Linked DNA regions of Caenorhabditis elegans. The protein of the gene in region 3 interacts with the protein of the main gene of each other region in a biochemical or structural test. Each region holds a gene or a part of one and is shown on either strand. Other genes may lie near its edges. The genes, in order: arx-4, arx-7, wsp-1 and arx-5.

Region 1 (5,313 bases), on a different chromosome or scaffold from region 3:
AAGCCATATAAACTAAAAATTTTCAGCACAGGACCTGATGGTGACGGAAAATGGGAAGAGGATCGTGCTAAGATCACAATCGAACTGAAAGGAATTGAAGATTCGGTAAAAGTCGCAGAATATCGTGCTCAACTGGCGTCTGCAGTATCTGCTGTGATTTTCGCGAGCAAATATCCTGGAAAAGTGATCGAAATCGAGATAACCGTTCTTTCGGATGATGGTGGTGTTCTTTCAACTGCACTTTCAGCTGTCACACTAGCCATTTCTCATTCTGGAATTGAAAATATGGGATTAATGGCCAGTGTTCATGTGGCAATGAATTCTGATGGAGAATGCTTGACGGATCCATCAACTTCCGAATCCGAAGGAGCCATCGGTGGCGTCACATTCGCTTTCGTTCCGAATCTTGGCCAAACAACGTGTGTGGACATTTACGGACGAATCCCTCTCAAATCCACGTCATCACTTTTGGAATTTGCGAAGCAAAGAGCGTGTGCTCTGGTTCCGACGATTCATAAGGCAATTGTGAACAGTGTGCGAGAGAGAAAATAAATGTGTTGACAATTTTTAAATTTATCTCTCATTCCGAATATCTAATTTAGAAAAAAAAGTTTTTGCCCGATTATTTGAAAATACATTTTTCCGTCTAAATTGAACATTAAATAGAAATATAAAATTGAATTCGACAAAATTTTTTTTGAAAATATTTTTTAGTTCGTGATTTCAAGCTGAAATATAAAAAAACAGATATTCAAAATATCATGCTCAAAAAAAATATGGAAAAAAGAAATATCTTCGTTTGCATTAAATTTTTTTCGAATTCTTGAAAATTTTTTTCGAATTCTTGAGAATGAGAATTTGAAAAAAAAAATCTCAAGCGAAAATATTGAACATTTCCATATTTTTGAGCATGATATTTTGAATATCGGTTTTTTTTTATTTTAGCTCGAAATCACGAATTTCAAAAATTTGTCAAAATTAACATTACCGAATTCACAAGTTTAAAAAGGATTAAAAATTAACATTACCGAATTCACAAGTTTAAAAAGGATTAAACTTGTGAATTCGGTAAAGTTAATTTTGACAAATTTTTGAAATTCGTGATTTCGAGCTAAAATATAAAAAAAAACCGATATTCAAAATATCATGCTCGAAAATATGGAAATGTTCAATATTTTCGCTTGAGATTTTTTTTTCAAATTCTCAAGAATTCGAAAAAAAAATTTTTATTTTTAAAACGCTCAATTTAGACGGGAAAATGTATTTTTCAAAATCGGACGAAAACTTCTTTTTTTTCTAAATTAGATATTCGCCGATACATTTTCTAAAAATTCAATTAATTATCCCCGATTTCACTTCAAATGCACCCCCTTCCATCTTTAATGAATGGGAGGAAAGAGCGCTCCACTGCACACAGATTCTTTGAGTAAATATAATACTGTTTAGTCACCTTCCCTTTTGCCTTCTCCGTCGTTTCTTTCTCATTTCTTTCTTGTTGATTTTGTTGTTGTTTCCCTTTTCATTTTGTTCAACCGTCGTGGTTTTCACAGTTTTCCTTCATTTTAAATACAATGAATTCAGAATTCTCTATGCATTTAATACCCTTCTTATTCCGTCGCTGGTCGCGGTTTTGTATTTTAATTCCTTTTTAATTGTTTTTGTACATTTCTCTCTCTATTTTCTACACTTTCAGAAAAATGATCATTTTGGAGCAAAACAACCGAATTATCGTGGAACTTCTCGAGCAAAAATTTGCAAACGCGAAGGAAGGGTTGGTTTTTTTTTGAATTTTAAACGTATTTTTGTAATTTTGAAAGAAAACATAACTGCATAATTTTCCTTTATTTTTAAATTAAAAACATTACCTTTCCGAAATTATTACGGAAATTTCGTTATTTTTTCAAACGTTTGTTGAAAACAATACCAAGAAAAAGTAAACTTGTGTGCGGTTTTCCCGTAGATATAGGTCTCGCCACGAATTTAGCATTTTCAGGCTTTAAAAAGTGTATGTTTTTATAAAGAGTATAGTAATTTCTCCATGGTTCTTCAACTGAAGTGCCAGAGAAACAACGATGTGTGTGAGAGTAATGTACTTTTTGAAGGCACATAGCGTTAAATTGAAAATGATTTGATCGTGGCGAGACCTTAATATATTGTTACTCTCACTAATAATCACCTTTTTCAGTGGAAAACCAGAGTCGGTCAACGTGACATTCGCCGATTTTGACGGAGTTCTCTACAAACTTTCGAATCCAGATGGCGATAGAACCAAGATAATTGTTAGAAACTTTTTCACAGTCTAATAATTTTTAAAACTAATTTTCAGCTGAGCATCTCGCTAAAATTCTACACGGAACTGCAGCAACACGGAGCGGATGATGTATGTCGCCGCTTTTTTCTGATGAATATTTGATTTTCCAAAATTTCCAGCTCCTTCGTCGTGTGTACGGTGGTCATATGCGTTCAACTCCGGAACAAGGATTTAATGTCACTCTGGAATACAATTTGGCCGATCTTCCGGCAGATACAACGGATTTGGTGCAGGCAGCTTCTGCTTTGAAGAGAAATTGTTTTGCTTCAGTCTTTGAAAAGTATTTCGAATTCCAAGAGGCCGGCCAGGAGGGGCATAAGAGAGCTGTTATTAATTATAGAGATGATGAGACAATGTGAGTACCGGTTGTGTTATGGCGTTATTCGAGAAGTGTCGAAAAATTTAAAAGTGTAGAAAAACTACGCCACAACTGTTTTAAAATACATAAAAACATGTATTTTAATACAGTTGTGGCGTCATAAATGTTTTTGAACACATTTTGCAAAATTACTTGATTAACCCCATTAAACGAGGAAAGTTGAAAAATGTTCAATATTATAAAGATTTGTTCAATTAAAATAATTTCACAGAGAAAGGCTGAAAAGTGGCGTTTTTATTCCAGTTTTCGTGGATTTTCAGAGAATTTGATTTATTATTTAACTATCAAAAGATATAAAAATTTTCGATTTTTTCATATTTCGAAAAAATTCCAAGTTTGCCGGAATTTTTCAATTCCTGCACTTTGCCGTTTTGCCGGTTTTCCGCCCACCCCTGAATCGACTCTCTACAATTTTTCAAATAAATAATTTATTATTAGGTCTCCAAATAAGTTCCGGGTCAAAAATCATAACTTTGTTCGCTGCGAATCGATTTTTATGAAATTGTGGGAATTTATGTTATCAACCATGATCTTTCATTTGACAATAGTCACAAAATTTTTTGGCCGTCCGAAGTGCCCGTACTCATAGCCAATTTTTTCAGGCATTTTTCAGATCTCGCTTCTTTTCAGGTTTCAACTAAGGTTTGTGTGCGGATATTGCTTAGTTTAGTACACAATGTAAGAGAACAAGAAAAGTTTGAAAAAAATCCGTCCAAAAAAATTTTTTTGTCGATCGTCAAAAAATCTTCAAAAAATTTTTTGTCGAAAATTCTTAATTTTTCATACAAAAATGATGTAACCATGTGCAAACTATTTTTACACATACAAAAAATTTCAATTTAGTGCGTCTCACTAAAAAAAAATAACAAAAAACACAGCTTTTTCGAACTATTTTCGAGTTTTTGGAGTATTTCTCAAGATCCAAATTTCATACTCAAATGTTTTGTATGTGTAAAAATAGTTTGCACATGGTTACATCATTTTTGTATAAAAATTCAAGAATTTTCGACAAAAATTTTTTTGTAGATTTTTTGACGAGCGACAAAAAAAATTTTTTTGGACGGATTTTTTTTCAAACTTTTCTTGTTTTCTTACATTGTGTACTTAATTAAGCAATATCCGCACACAAACCTCAGTTGAAACCTGAAAAGAAGCGAGATCTGAAAATGCCTGAAAAAATTGGCTCCGAGTACGGACACTTCGGACGGCCAAAAAATTTTGTGACTATTGTCAAATGAAAGATCATGGTTGATAACATAAATTCCCAAAGTTTCATAAAAATCGATTCGCAGCGAACAAAGTTATGATTTTTGACCCGGAACTTATTTGGAGATCTAATAATAATCACAAATTTGCCATTTTCTCTGAAAAATAGTAAGAATTAATAAAAAAGTGTTTTTCACTTTTTCAATACGCACAAATTTCTTATTTTTTGAACAAAAAATTCTGAAAAACAGTACTTTTTAATTGTAATACTGCAAATAATATACTTTAAACCCCAATGATTTTCAGGTACATTGAAGCGAAAGCGGATCGTGTGACCGTAATCTTCAGTACAGTTTTCAAGGACGCTGACGATGTGATAATCGGAAAAGTGTTCCTTCAAGAATTCCGTGAAGGCCGAAAAGCCAGTCAAACTGCTCCAGCAGTACTCTACTCACTCGGTGAACCACCTTTGGAGCTTAAAGATCTTCCAGAAGCCCGTGTTGGAGACAATGTTGGATACATTACATTTGTGTTGTTCCCACGTCACACAAATAAGAAGACAAAAGACAATACGATTGATTTGATTCATTCGTTCCGTGACTATCTTCATTATCATATCAAATGTTCCAAAGTCTACCTTCACACCAGAATGCGTGCCAAGACCACTGATTTCTTGAAGGTTCTCAATCGGGCACGTCCAGAGGTCAAAGGAGAAAAGAAGACGTTCCATGGAAGAACTTTTCAGACCCAATAAATGTACAAATTATCACAATTGTTACCAAATATTTTTTTTCTGTTTTCGCTTTAAAACCTTATTTATTGCTTTGATTGTAAAATGTTCTTATGAGGTTCGTGAAATTTTGATATGAAATGAATTATTGCAGTAAAATGGAGAGCGATAGTTAAGGCACAATTTGTGGAATGATATCAATTACTATCCGATTTCAAAGAAGAAAAACATGGACGGGCTGAAAATGCATAGGGATCGGAGGAGAGAGAGGAGAACAGGTATTCAGGTAGACCCTAGTAGTTTGACCTACGAAACTTGCGGGAATGGTGTTTACGCGTCATGGCAAACAACGAGGAGTCCACCTGAACACATGTAATGTAATAATGAAGAAATCTCCTAAAAATCATAAAAATTTTCAAATATTATCATTTGGAGCAATTTTACGGGCCTCTAAAGTAGTGAAAAAAAAAACACTATTCAGCTCGATTTTTATCCAGTTCAAAGTGTTTTTTTGCCGGCCTATTTAGGAGGTACTCTTTTAACATAGATTTCATCCAGAAGTCGGGGTTAACTTGAAATACTTCCCTTGTTCTCTCACATGATCTAAAATACTCATTCACATCTTTTAGTTGTCCTGCAAATACGCTTCACATTTTTTTTCTTCAATTTTTTGCAATTCATGTATGC
Region 2 (2,969 bases), on a different chromosome or scaffold from region 3:
GTTTTTTTTCGAAAAAAAAACTTGTTTTGATAAAAAGATGAAAAAGCGAGAAAGATTTTTTTTTGGTAAATTTGAAACATTTTTTTGGAAAACTTGAATATTTTAATCAAAATTAATCAACATATTTAATTTCGAATAAAAAAATTCCCGATTTTTTCAGTAAAAATTTGTTTGAGATTAATTCCGCCTAAAACCCCGTGCATTTTCAGTGTTTCTTCCACCAACTTCGAGATGAGGGTAGCTGGTTGGATATTGGTATGAGCATTTCTCAATTCATCGTTTCAATGTGCATTTCTCTTGCTCTTCTGCTACTTCTCTCGATTTCCAGTCATCTTATGGCATTTGAATTCCGAAAATTTCCTGGAAAAAGAAATCACCAGGAAATCGAATCGATCTCTTCCCGGAAGTTATCCGACGACGAATCTGCTTAAATAATTTTTTTCAGATTTTTAATTGTTATTTTTCAATTCGTGATGCCATTTTCAATCGTGTGATAGATACTATTCCGTGGTGCTTTAATTTATCTTTCAAAAACTTTTTCGAATATCAGAAAGAATTAAAATAAATATCATCATAAAGCTTAAGGCGAAACAAAAAATATTCAAAATTCACAAGAAACATGTGGAGAGCGATGGGGGAATGAATATCACAGCAAACACAACGATTCGGGAATAAATCAGAGACGTTGGCGACCGGAGAAGACACGCATAATGGCTCCGTGACCGAATTTTGCGACGAGTTGAGCGTGCCACGCGAGCAAAGACTGACAGACGGCCGCGTCGGCGCCGATTTCCATTGATTTGTAGACGTATTTCATGAGAATATCACTTTCTTCTATCGAAAGCTTCTGGACAGTCGCCTCGATTTCCGCGTTTTTGAAGGATTGCAGAACTTTTGTGACGAGCTGTGTGGCGCGGTCTTTTACGTTCTGAAATTGAAAATTTTTCTTTCTGTCTCTTCCCTGGCCAGCTTAAGCCAAAACCTAGGCCTAGGCCTATGCCTAAGCCCAAATAAGCTTATTAAATCTCACCTGATCTTTGGTTTTAAGTGGCGGGGAGAGAAGAGCCGCATGAAGAGCATCCTCAAGCCGATTCGAGCTCAAAAATCCCTGAACCGCGCGCTCATCGGGTCCAAGTCCAGGAGTATCGACTGCTAAAATTAAATAACAAATTATTTATTCAAATGCACACGAAAAATCAATAATTTCCGCGCGCCTTAAGTACACAAATGACTCACTCTCGTCATTCTCATCGTACTGTTCCGGGTCGAAAGAGTCCACATCCAGCTTTCGGTACGAGGTGTTTTGCATGTTTTTCGACATTTTTTCCTATCTGAAACAAGAGATTTTTAAATGAAAATGTGGCGCGGTGGATTTGAAAATTGCGAAAGAAAAATAAATCGGTTAGCTTGTCCGAGAAGAGTACACAGTGGCACTAAACAACACGCGCATGCGGAATTACGGAGCTTCGTAGTTAATTTTTTTTTTTTTTTTTTGGTTTTATTAAAATTAATAAATATCTCGAAAAAAAGAGTGTTTTAATGTGAATTTTCCTTTTGAAAAAAAGTGAGAAACAATTATTCGGGATTAGATTCATTTAATTTTATCGAAAACTCCTCCATTTTGGGACTTTTATCGCCATTTTCGTCGAAAACTCTGAAAAATTGGCGAGAAACAGCGTTTTGGGAATATTCGTACCAAATAAACGCTATTTATTCTTGGATGCCATTATTTCTAGAAGCTCCTGAAATTAATTTCTATGATTTTCAAGCAAAACCTTCAAAAATTGGGGTTTTTTCGAATTTTTCCAAATTTCCAATTTTTGAAACAAATACATCAATTTTTTAGTAAATCCCCATATTTTGGAGCTAAAAAATTTGAAAATTTTACAAAACTGTTAATTTTCCGAGCGAAAACTTTAAATTTCCAATTTTTGAAGCTGGAATTTTGAATTTTTCAGAGGAAATTTTAAAAATTACATTAGTTGGCAAAAATTCTAAGTTTTTTCTTGAAAAATGTGTGCGTTTTTTACAACTTTTCCGGTTAAAAGCGACAATTTTTATCGCCAAAAACACGAAAAAGCCTCAATTTTGTGAGAAAACCCGCTGAAAATCTGCTAAATTGTGTGTGTTTTTTTTCAATAAAGAGTAGATTTGGTGAACAGAACGATTTATGCACTTTTTCCATAGTCATATATAATAAAAATTTGAAAAAAAGCTCCGTACCCTTCTTGGAAGGTTGAGATGAGACTAAAACGGCCCTTCAAGACCGTTCAAGAAGAGGACCGATCTCCGAGAAAAACTGTTCTTTTTGCGATAAAGAACCGTATGGGGGAGCAGAAGAAATAGATTATTCTCTGATTGGGAAGGGCTTTAAACTAGAAAACTCACCTTTCCCGAGAAGAAAAAATCGAATTTTTTGAATTAAAAAAATCCAAAACCAGAACAAAACAGAAGAGCAAATACACCAAAAAAAACATGGGGAAAAGATGATGAGCAATAGTTATCTATTTTACATGGATGCGATATAATACGAGCATATTCAAGATAATTGGGGAAATGGAAAGAGAGAGAGAGAGTACAGAATAGTGTACAGGAGGTGGGTGAGGAAGAGGATTTCAATGGAGAATAAAGCGAGTTGACATGAAGGCGGCTGAATTGAGACTGGAACAAAAACTGTCGAAATGCACTTTTGGATGGGGCAAGATCTGGAAATTATTGAGATTGGATTAAAATATTTAATTTTATTTTTTATAGACCCTATTTATGCTCCTGATCAAGGGTGTCAGTTTTTCGATTTTTTTTTCAAAAAATCGAAAATGTTAGTTTTTCGATTTTTCGATTTTCCGATTTTCGAAAAAAATTCGCTTAATATTTTGGCCATTATCCTTCTTTTTAGAAGAAATTTTAATGTTTTTTCTTACCAATATAAACAAAATTAGATAAAAAATCATATTTTATGGTAAATTTTC
Region 3 (6,840 bases):
CCAATTTTTCAACTTTTGGTTTCTTCGAAAATTGTTCGACGTTTGTTGGTCTTATTTTTGATCTCGATCGTATTATTCTATTCTATTATTCTGGAGCGGTAATTTTTTGAAATGACCAATCCATTGAAATTAATACAAATTGTCATTTACTATAATAGATAATCGGAAAAAAAAGTTGAAATTGAAACTTATTAAAACGTACCTGATATCTCGGAATGGTCTTACTGTAGTCTACTGTATTCCTAACTTACAATACGATATGTCATTATGTGTCACTTGATTCGAAGTTATATTGCTTACAATCTATAAAATTCTATTTGAAAAAATAGAAATTTGTTCTGACCTATCATGAATCTCAGTTTTGTGTTCCTCTAAAGCATGAGCCACTTTCAATCGACGCATGTGAAAAGCGGGCCACTTGAAAGAGCAAGGAGTAGGACAAGACGAGTACAGGATTCAATGGAGATCTACGTGATCTTACCCGTGCCTTGTGCTCTACAATGTTCAATCTGAACAAAGAACGAGCACTGGTTCAATTATAAGGTTTTCATACTTTTTATTTTCTTCTCTTTTTTACAATAGTGCTTCAAGTCTCCATCTCTTCTTCTGCAGCAATCCTATGCGGTTGTATTATGTTCATGCATTAATTTTTGAGAAGTCGACACTTGAGAGGAAGTTATAATTAGGTTTTCGTATATAGTTTTGTATTTGGCGCAGGTTATTTTTGAAACATAGTATATCTTTAAAATCTGTTAACAGAACACAAGCAGATGTGAAAAAAGTGTAGAAATTATTTAATAATAAGTGAAACTGGCTGTTCCTTCCGTTTTCCGAATGTCATTATTGACGTCTAGAGGTGTAGCTGTTCCTACGTGTTGTTGTTAGCGGGTGTGACAGTAGTCAAACGATGATTGAATAATTTTTGTGTTGAAGTACACGCTTTCAAACAAAAAAGTAAAATCTTAGTTTTTTCAGTCTTACCGCTGTTTTAAATTTGAAGGATCACCCTTAAGAACGGTGTCTCGTTTACTATAAAAGTACTGTAAACTCAAGAAAAAAATTACGATACTTCTTACAAAGTATTTCTGGTAGCCACACATTGACACCTAAGTCACAAACTAATAGAAACATTATCTTATTATTTCTCAGTTTTTTAATGTTTAACTATATTGAGACTCTCTCCGTTAGAGGTTCAGGGCAGCACATACACACATACACATACTCATCGGTGTTGACTCCGCCTAACTCTCGTGAGAAGAGAAGTGCTTCAGTTCACCTCCCCACAGTTTTCGCCCCATCATTTCGGTCACTTTTACTATTCATTTCTTACATGGAAAATTTTTGGAATATGTAAAAAATATCATTTTTTGAATAGAAATAGATAGTTGTTAGGAATTCAATTAATATTTACATCTGTTTCCTCTGTCAATATGCACATCTCACTGCCGCCAAACTGTGGTAGTGTGTTGTGTAATTTGATTCCGAATCGAAACGATTGGGCGAGAGAGAAAATTAGAGGGAGAGAAGCCGAACGGTGTGAAGAGGCGAAACGGTATACAATAATGATGTGTATTATGACGGTTTTCATTTCGTTCTGTTTCTATGATTCTCTGAATATCCGTTCGAATCACTAAGTGCTTGTACGCCAATCAGAAAGTCATGGCAATTTAAAAGATTTAGAAATGCAAACGTTTTTTTTTCCAAATTCACTTTTCATCAGACTTCAGCAAGATTTTTTGAAGAATAGGATGTTACAAATTATGCTTGCGTAAATATGCAACATTTTTTGGAATGCCCATTTTCGAAGTCAACTAGAGGTATAATTTGGAACCCTTATATACATCTCTCCTTTCAATTGTTTCACACATCACTCGGATATCTCAAGTGAATTTGTTCCATTCCTTCATTTTATGACCTGAAAATTCCGATTCTCACAGCTTTCGATTCCATAAACGTCACCTTTCGACATTTCCCATATACTCTTTTTTCTCTCGCTTTCATCTCCATAATTTGCGACGATCTTTTTCGCCTTCTTTCAGAAGTATCAGAAGTAGTAGCCATTCGAAGAATAATAACATGTGGATGGTGGTAAGCGAGGATCCGGCCGGCCGCCTCCGCTATCAGTACCACAACCTGCCGGTCGCTCAATCGTTTCCTCCTCCTTCCCACCCTCCGCCACCGTCTGCGACAACCAATCCGTCGTCCAATAAACCGTCAACCGTTTCGTCGGCGGCTCAAATTTATTCGTCCTTTCCATCCTCCACTTCCTCTTCCGGTACTGGCGGTCATCTTCACCATAACCATATGCAACGTTTTGCACGTGGAGGATGCTCTAGCTTCCCTGATTCTATGGGATCCTCACCTCGTACTACCCATCGGAGTCATACTCTACCAAATGGAGGATATTATGAAATGGAACAATATGACAATGTAAATGATTATTCGACTTATGGAGGTCCTGATTCCACGTCAAGCTCAACAAGCTCATCTGCAGAATACCAAGATCCAGTATATTCAACAAGGTATGGAGGATCCACAGGTACATATGCAAGGCGTCAGAACTATGCAAGATGTTATGTTCCAATATCTGCTGATGCATTCTATTACTATCACAATCAACAAAAGCAACTACAACAGCAACATCATCAGCAGCAACAACAGCAGCTAGCATTCCGACCTCGTCATCGATCATCACATCATCATCAAGAACCTCGTCGACATAGAGCTCCGAGTCCTGATCCAGACTATTCACCCCCACTTTCTCGAAATAAGGTACGATTTCATATCCCAGAAGAACCAGTATCTCGTGGTGACTATGTGAGTTCTCGACACGTATTCAATACGGATGACTTCGGTGACGAAGACGACGATTATGAATCAGTATCGATGAATCCTGATCCTGCACCTCATTCTGATTCCGTATTAGTTCATCGATCAAATGGTCAAGTATCTGTTATGGTCACAAAGAAAGAAGAACCTATCTACTGTTCTGGAGGAAGTGATAGTAGTACAGAGAGTAGCAGTGCAACACCATCATCTGTAGAAGCAGATACTCCACCACCAATTCCATCTCATCCACCTGCAAGGCATCGATTAGTGAAGAAAAGTTCTAGTTCGACATCAATTTCGCTTAATGGTTTGTTTTACAGACTTTAAATATTCTGATGTCTGAATCTTCACCTCATCATTTTTACTCTTCTACAATAGTTTCTAAAACCTTTTAAAATCTCCCAAAAATTACACAGCTTGTGAAGCTTGAAAATTTAAAAACGAATTTAGTTTTTCGAAACTTCTAAAAGTATAGGAAGTGTCAACAAGTTGAACTCATGATGTGTATTTGCACTTTATCATAATATTTTTGTTTACTTGATCACTATCTTTCCATATTATCGTTTTTTCTTTGAGTTGATCAATTTGATAGACAGAATCTGGTTCTATAAGAGTTTTTCACACAAATTTGGAAAGCAAACATCCAACCCAGGATGGCGAGAAATTCGGACCGATTATTTGTGTTCATGTCATGTTATGAGCACCGCCGACCGAGTACTTGATCGGCTTCAAGCGCTCAGAGCACATGAACATCATTGTTGAGCAGAAATGCTGGAGAATAGAGAAAGATGATTTTTAACTGATTGGGTGATCGAATTGAAATGAAAAAGAACAGAGCACTTGACAGTGAGAACTTCTATATTTAATAATTTATTATTTCAGGAATCGGATCCACTCCAACACGACAATTCGAAATCACACAGGCTTATGGAGGAACAATTCGAGGACCTCCAATGGCAATTGGCGGAGGTCAAGGGATAACACAAATGGGAACTATGGCTGCTGCACCACAATCACATACACATACAGGTGAATATTTTTTTGGAAATTGAAAAATGATGTTCTCGTAGTCAGTAATTGAATTTCTGAATAAAATTACGTAAACTTAAAAAAAATCACATTTTATATCTCATTTCTTATGCATACTTTGCAAAATTTGCTCATATTTTAATGATTAATAAATTGAAAAGATTGTTACATAAATTTGGTGAGAAATCTCTTCAAAAAATAACATTAATTTTAATTAAATATTTTCAATATTTACAGATGGAAATGCTAGCAGTAGTGGATCATGGTTCCGGAAAGATAAAAACAAAAAGAAGGATAAAAAATCGAAAATTAAGAAAGAGGATATTTCTAATCCAACAAACTTTCAGTGAGATTTATTCCGTTTTAATGGTTTAAATTAAACTAAATATTTCAGACATAAAGCTCATGTTGGATGGAATCAGGATAGTGGATTCTCGAATACAGTTTACGACGATGATATGGATGAAGCTACTAAAAATATTCTAAAGGCTGCTGGATTGGAAAGCAATAATCTGAATGAGGATGATAAGAAATTCGTGAAAAAATTCATTGCCAAGAACTATGATAAATATGTATCTGTTGGAAGTTTGGATCCATCACAAATCTCATCACCTCTTCCACCACCAATTCAGCAACATCCACAGATGAATCAGTCATGGAATCAGTTAGTTTTTTTGTTTTCATTTCGGAAAAAAATAACTCCAAACCAGAAAAAATAAATTTAATTATGGTCCGACATCTACTGGGTTTCGCCCCTGTGAAGATACATGCATATGCGCTGTGTGAGTCGAAACCCGGTAGATGTCGGACCATGAAAAAGAGTAATGGCAACGCAATCCCAATTATTCTCCCCCGAAATGCTTTCGATGTAGTTTTTTTTCCGCAAACTTACAAAAAAAGTTAAAAGTAATATGTTTCTGTTACAGTTAACCCTTGAATATATTTTACGACTACTGTTTTTTGTAGCTGAGAACCAGAAATATTATGAAATATTTAATATAAATACTAGAAATATTAGAAATGAAATTAGTGTTGCATTTGGTGAGGGCGTATTTCAGCCATATTAGAAATACGATAACAAAAAAGTTTTATTTTTAAATGAAAAAAAAATTTTCAGAACACCAGTGCGTCAATACAAACCATCATTCCCATCATCTGCTCCGATTGGAAGCGGTGCTTCATCATATTCCACACCTGCCGCTCCTCCACCTCCAACACGTGTCGAATCTCATGGATTGGCTCCAGCTCGTCCACCTCCTCCACCACCGTCATCTGGTACCCGTGGAATTGCACCATCAAGACCTTTACCTCAAGTAAGTAACCGGAGAGTGATTTTCTGAAAAAAATTAATTTATATTCAGGCGCCCAACTATGGAACCCCAGAGAATCGACCACATGCGGTTCCACCACCTCCACCCCCTCCACCACCACAATCATTTGGAATGGCTCCGATATCATCCGCAGCTCCTCCACCACCACCTCCTCCACCACCGATGGGATTGCCAGCAGTAGGAGCAGGAGCTCCACCCCCTCCACCTCCACCACCACCTTCAGGAGCCGGAGGACCTGCATCGGTGCTCGCAAAACTACCACCTGCTCAGGATGGAAGATCGAATTTGCTAGCGGTTAGTATACTTTTAAAAATGTTCACTATTGAATTTTGTATTCAGGAAATCCAAGCTGGAAAACAACTTCGATCCGTTCAACAAACTGCAGATTCACCAAAATCGGCTGGTGGTGATGCTCGTGGAGATGTGATGGCCCAAATTCGACAAGGAGCACAATTAAAACATGTAAGACAATTTTTAACCGAAAATTACTATTGATTCCAATTTTTTTAAACTTTAGGTGGATGCAGCTGCTGAGCAAGAACGTCGAAAGAGTACGACTTCTGGAGCCGCTGGAATGGGAGGATTGGCTGGAGCACTAGCAAAGGCTCTTGAGGAACGTCGAATGAATATGGGAATAGATGATACTAGTGATGATGATGACGATGAAGATGACAAAAATGAATGGTCAGATTAGACTAAATTATCTCATTAAACTTGTTTTCCTTCCATTTTTCGTTTCCTTTTTCTGTGCAAATCCCGTGTGAAACAGGGTAATTTTAGTCCCTCAAGTACAATTCTTGATTTGAAAAATTACAGAATCGTCAATTTCCAAGATAAATTATCATACATTTTGAAAGTGACGAATTTGTAAAACTTGTGCATTTAGTTTTTTTTTTTCTCCAAATCAGTGCCTATTCCGTGTGAATTTCTCTTCGTAAGCCCCCTTCCACACACCCGAAATACCAACAAACTTTTAAAACTCAACCAGTCTTCTTGTTTTTCTCCCGTAGATTTTTCTGTGATGCTCCCCTCTCATCCAAAACCATTGTCCCTTTTTAGACTTACAGCAGAAACGCTCATAATTTTTTTGCATATTATCATTTTTCTGGGTATCCACATAAATAATTTTTGTTTCCAATTCGATGAGAAGTAGAAGCTTTCCGGGTAGAGCTTGTTTATTCACAGGTGTACAATAAGAATAACGGCTAAAATAAATAGCAAAAAAAATGGTTCTGTGTGCTTTTTGGGAACAAATTGAGATTATGAGATGATTTTTTGTAGATTTTTGTGTGATTTATGAACAGAAAATGTAAATTTGAAAATCGCTATTACTGGTTACGGGAAACAACGGGAAAAATTCTAAGAAGAATGATGGAGTCTCGGGATATGAAGAGAAAATATTACACAATAAATTATTAGGAAACATGTTTCATAAACATCTTGATCTATAAGTGACCGCATTGGAAGGACATTTTGGTTGGGAGGAAACGAATCGGAATTGGTTGACAAGAACCCGTAAAAGTGCAACACAATCTGAGATGAAATGGGGAAAAAAGAAACAAATTTAATTCTAAATATGTTTTTTTTTGTTGAGAAAATTATTTCTAAGTGTGATGACTCGAATGCATTCGATATTTATCTTTTACAAGAG
Region 4 (3,540 bases), on a different chromosome or scaffold from region 3:
TTCAGCTTAAAATCCGCCAGGGCCATTATCATTGGAGCGCGCCATGTCGCGTCGATTTACGAGAGATTTTGTTTGCAAATTTCAGTTTTTCAACAAGTTTTCTATATTTTTCGCGTTTTTTTAAGTGAAAATGTGAAATAATTTTATGATTTTTAAAATTTGAAAAAAAAAATTTTTCAACAAAAAAATCAAAGAAACTTGCAAATTTTAGTTTCTTTGATTTTTTTTTTTTGAAATATAATTTATTTCGTGTAAAGTGAACGAAACTTACTGATTTTTCAATTTTTAAAATAATAAAATACCCAAATTTACACGAAAAAACACATTTTAATTTAAAAAAACCGAAGAAAATGAAGAAAACTGGTTTAAAAAACCGAATTTGGCTGCAAAAAAACCCCTCGTAAATCGACATGGCATGGCGCGCTCCAATGAGAATTTTTCTGGCGCGAGTTTGAAAATTGTTTCGCGCTTTCAAGCTGAAATATAAGATTTTTGAAATTTTTTGAATTTTTTTAAAACAAAATATGGGAAATTTGGAGTAATTTGAAAATTTAAAAAATCAAAAAAATGATTTTTTTATTAAAAAAAAAAGTTTTTTTCAGGATTTCCAATGGCGTGCCGGCTGGGGTGTTCTCAAGGCCAATATGCTTTTCGTGTACAATAAAACCGAAGAGGAGACGTCGGCTCCTCCATTTTTACTACTAATTATTGAAGACTGTTTTATCGAATTATGTGATGAGAATAAGATTGGCAAGGATTTCACTTTTGAAATCAAATTCAAATCGTGCGTTTTTTCCGGGTCTCAACACGAAAAATTAATACTAAATTCCAAAAAAAAACTGAATTTTTATCGGTTTTATCGAAAATCGATGAAAAATCGATTGAAAATTCCTAAAATTATCCGATTTTTTTCCAGAACTGCTCGAAGCTTCATCTTCGCCGCCGACTCGTTCAAATCGCTGGGACGTTGGGTTTCGCTGCTCACAATCTCCCCGATCGACTATATACAGCTCTCGAAACAAAGTTTTCATGAGCAAATCGAGCAAACTCAGAAGAAAGCGATGAGGGATTGATTTTTATACATTTTGCACATTTTCACTGTGATATTTTGACTTATTGATTATAAATCATACATTTTTAACGTTTTTTGCTTTGTTTTGCAGCTGGAATTTCCCTGAATTTATCGTTTTTTTCGCAAAAAATCGCGAAATTTCATTAAAAATTTCCAAACGATGCTCCGATATTCCGATGTCGCGCCTTGTTTACCGTAAACTTACACGAGATTATTATTTATTTTTCCGTTCCTGGAGAGAATTTCATCAGAAAAAACGTTTAAAAAGCAGAAAATCTTTGATTTTTTCCAATTTTTCTTAAATATCTGATTATAGGAAACTTGTAAGCTGATATTAATCATATTAATTCCAAGTTTTCATATATTTTAACACGAATTTCCGAATAAAAGTGTATTTTCGGGTTTTACTTTAATTTTCGCGTCCGCAACGACATTATCGCTTCAAAAACTGCATTTTTATCGAATAAAATACTTATATTTTAATTTAAAACTCGAATTTCACAATTTATCGATTTTTTTTCGCAGCCGCAGTGACTCATTATGTACTTACCCCCCCCCCCCCTCGGGTATCCGAAAATAAGCCGTTTTCTATGCATTTTTCCAAACAAAACACTTATTTTTCAGTGAAATGCCGGCATACCACTCAAAATTCGACACTGAACTCAAAGTTTTGCCATTGGGCAACACAAATATGGGAAAACTTCCGATTCGAACCAATTTCAAGGGTCCAGCGCCTCGTAAGTCTTCAAAAATTGATTGAAAAAACCTATATTATATATTAAAATTATTGCAGAAACCAATCAGGATGACATCATCGACGAAGCGCTCACCTACTTCAAGCCGAACATCTTTTTCCGCGAATTTGAGGTTGATTTTCGAGATTTTTCCCTATTAAAATTGAGAAATTTTCAGATCAAAGGTCCCGCGGACCGTACAATGATCTATCTCATCTTCTACATCACCGAGTGCCTCAGAAAATTGCAAAAAGTACGGATTTTGCACGAAAAAAACCTACTTTTTAGATTGAAAAATAAGAAAAAAAGACCCAAACATACCGAATTTCAATGGATATTTTGAACATTCCTACCGAAAACAGATTTTTTTAAGTAGAAAATTTCAAATTCGAAACATTTTCGATTTTCTCTGAAAAAATCCCAAATTCTTTCAATTTTCTCTGAAAAATCCACAAATTTTAAGGTTTTCTCTGAAAAAATCGAATTTTTTTGGTTTTTCCCTGAAAAAAATCTAAAAATTGTTTAATATTCCCTGAAAATTCCAAAATTTTTCTGGTTTTCCCTGAAAAAATCCGAAAATTTTTCGATTTTCACTGAAAAAATCCGAAATTTTTCCGATTTTCTTCGGAGAAATCCAACTTTTTTTTTTCTCAAAATTTTGGAAATTATAAAAAAAAATTCTAGTTACAAAATTCGGTCTTTTCGGGCTATTTTGAGTGAAATAAAGCGTAAAAACATGTTTTTTTTTTGCAAATTTTTTCAAATTTTCAGAGCCCAAACAAGATAGCCGGCCAAAAGGATCTTCACGCCTTGGCTCTCAGTCATTTGCTTCCAATTCCCGGTGAAAATGGATTCCCACTGAACAGCATGTACAAGGCGCCCCAATCGAAACCGGACGAGGACGAAATGCGTGCCTATTTGCAACAAATTCGCCAAGAAATCGGCGCCCGTCTGTGTGATCTCGCGTTCCCGGATCCCCAAGATCGTCCGAGCAAGTGGTGGCTCTGTTTCGCGAGAAGACGATTCATGGACAAGGGGCTCGTTGGACAGGGTGTTAATTTGTGAATTATCGATTAATTATTGTTGTATCTGGCTCAAAATTTTTTCACTTTTCCCATTTTTTTTTCCATGTAATTATATTTATATTGCGTCCAGTTTTACTTTTTGTGCTGCTTTAAAATATTCATTAAAATTCCGATTTCATCATTTTATTACGGTAACGCAACATATTTTGCGCGCGTCAAATATGTTGTGCGCGAAATACGCGAAATCTCTATGCTCTACCGATAATTTGTCTGCTTGGATCCCATCACTGACAACAAAAACGCCACGGTATCGTGTACGACTTCTGGAGCAGTTATCTGGCAACGTGCCAAGTGACTTCGAACCTCTTCGGGAAGTTGGGAGACTGGAAGAGCCTGGAAATTGAGAAAAATTGAAAATTTTAAGATTTTCTCCGAGAAAATTGGAAAATAGTCGAATTTTTTTCAGAAAACCCCAAATATAGGCCTTTTTTATTAGAAAATCGAAAAATTTTCAGGTTTTTTCAAATAAAATCGGGAAAAAAACTATTAATTTCCCGTAATTTTCCAAGATTTCCGTCTTAAAGGCGCACAGATTTGTTCAGATGGGTCTCGGCGCGCAAAAAAGTTTATGGTACTTTTTTTTCTTTTTTCCTGTTAAAAATTGTTTTAAATCAGTTTTTTTGCCGTTTTCCAGTCAGAGAATGAATAA

What was found.
Region 1: the proteins of wsp-1 (region 3) and arx-4 form a complex in vitro, tested with the Caenorhabditis elegans proteins (one study listed by BioGRID).
Region 2: the proteins of wsp-1 (region 3) and arx-7 form a complex in vitro, tested with the Caenorhabditis elegans proteins (one study listed by BioGRID).
Region 4: the proteins of wsp-1 (region 3) and arx-5 form a complex in vitro, tested with the Caenorhabditis elegans proteins (one study listed by BioGRID).

What each region holds. Positions count from the first base shown.
Region 1 is NC_003281.10:860,613-865,925, forward strand, and holds arx-4 (putative actin-related protein 2/3 complex subunit 2), read left to right. Parts: upstream 1-1,693; 5' UTR 1,694-1,697; coding exon 1,698-1,771; intron 1,772-2,185; coding exon 2,186-2,279; intron 2,280-2,326; coding exon 2,327-2,380; intron 2,381-2,430; coding exon 2,431-2,666; intron 2,667-4,202; coding exon 4,203-4,650; 3' UTR 4,651-4,784; downstream 4,785-5,313. Other genes in the region: exos-4.2 (Exoribonuclease phosphorolytic domain-containing protein), read left to right, coding at 27-552. UniProt on the Caenorhabditis elegans protein: Functions as actin-binding component of the Arp2/3 complex which is involved in regulation of actin polymerization and together with an activating nucleation-promoting factor (NPF) mediates the formation of branched actin networks.
Region 2 is NC_003279.8:3,068,820-3,071,788, forward strand, and holds arx-7 (Actin-related protein 2/3 complex subunit 5), read right to left. Parts: upstream 1,332-2,969; 5' UTR 1,322-1,331; coding exon 1,237-1,321; intron 1,153-1,236; coding exon 1,031-1,152; intron 929-1,030; coding exon 677-928; 3' UTR 506-676; downstream 1-505. Other genes in the region: pign-1 (GPI ethanolamine phosphate transferase 1), read left to right, coding at 210-431.
Region 3 is NC_003282.8:8,188,389-8,195,228, reverse strand, and holds wsp-1 (CRIB domain-containing protein), read left to right. Parts: upstream 1-2,033; 5' UTR 2,034-2,076; coding exon 2,077-3,136; intron 3,137-3,711; coding exon 3,712-3,858; intron 3,859-4,095; coding exon 4,096-4,204; intron 4,205-4,252; coding exon 4,253-4,522; intron 4,523-4,975; coding exon 4,976-5,171; intron 5,172-5,219; coding exon 5,220-5,483; intron 5,484-5,528; coding exon 5,529-5,651; intron 5,652-5,706; coding exon 5,707-5,883; 3' UTR 5,884-6,325; downstream 6,326-6,840. Other genes in the region: pct-1 (Cyclin-dependent kinase 17), read right to left, coding at 6,794-6,840.
Region 4 is NC_003281.10:12,816,257-12,819,796, reverse strand, and holds arx-5 (putative actin-related protein 2/3 complex subunit 3), read left to right. Parts: upstream 1-1,696; 5' UTR 1,697-1,700; coding exon 1,701-1,809; intron 1,810-1,865; coding exon 1,866-1,939; intron 1,940-1,984; coding exon 1,985-2,059; intron 2,060-2,577; coding exon 2,578-2,871; 3' UTR 2,872-3,008; downstream 3,009-3,540. Other genes in the region: Y37D8A.25 (PH domain-containing protein), read left to right, coding at 603-784, 917-1,073; BE10.4 (DUF148 domain-containing protein), read right to left, coding at 3,087-3,224. UniProt on the Caenorhabditis elegans protein: Functions as a component of the Arp2/3 complex which is involved in regulation of actin polymerization and together with an activating nucleation-promoting factor (NPF) mediates the formation of branched actin networks.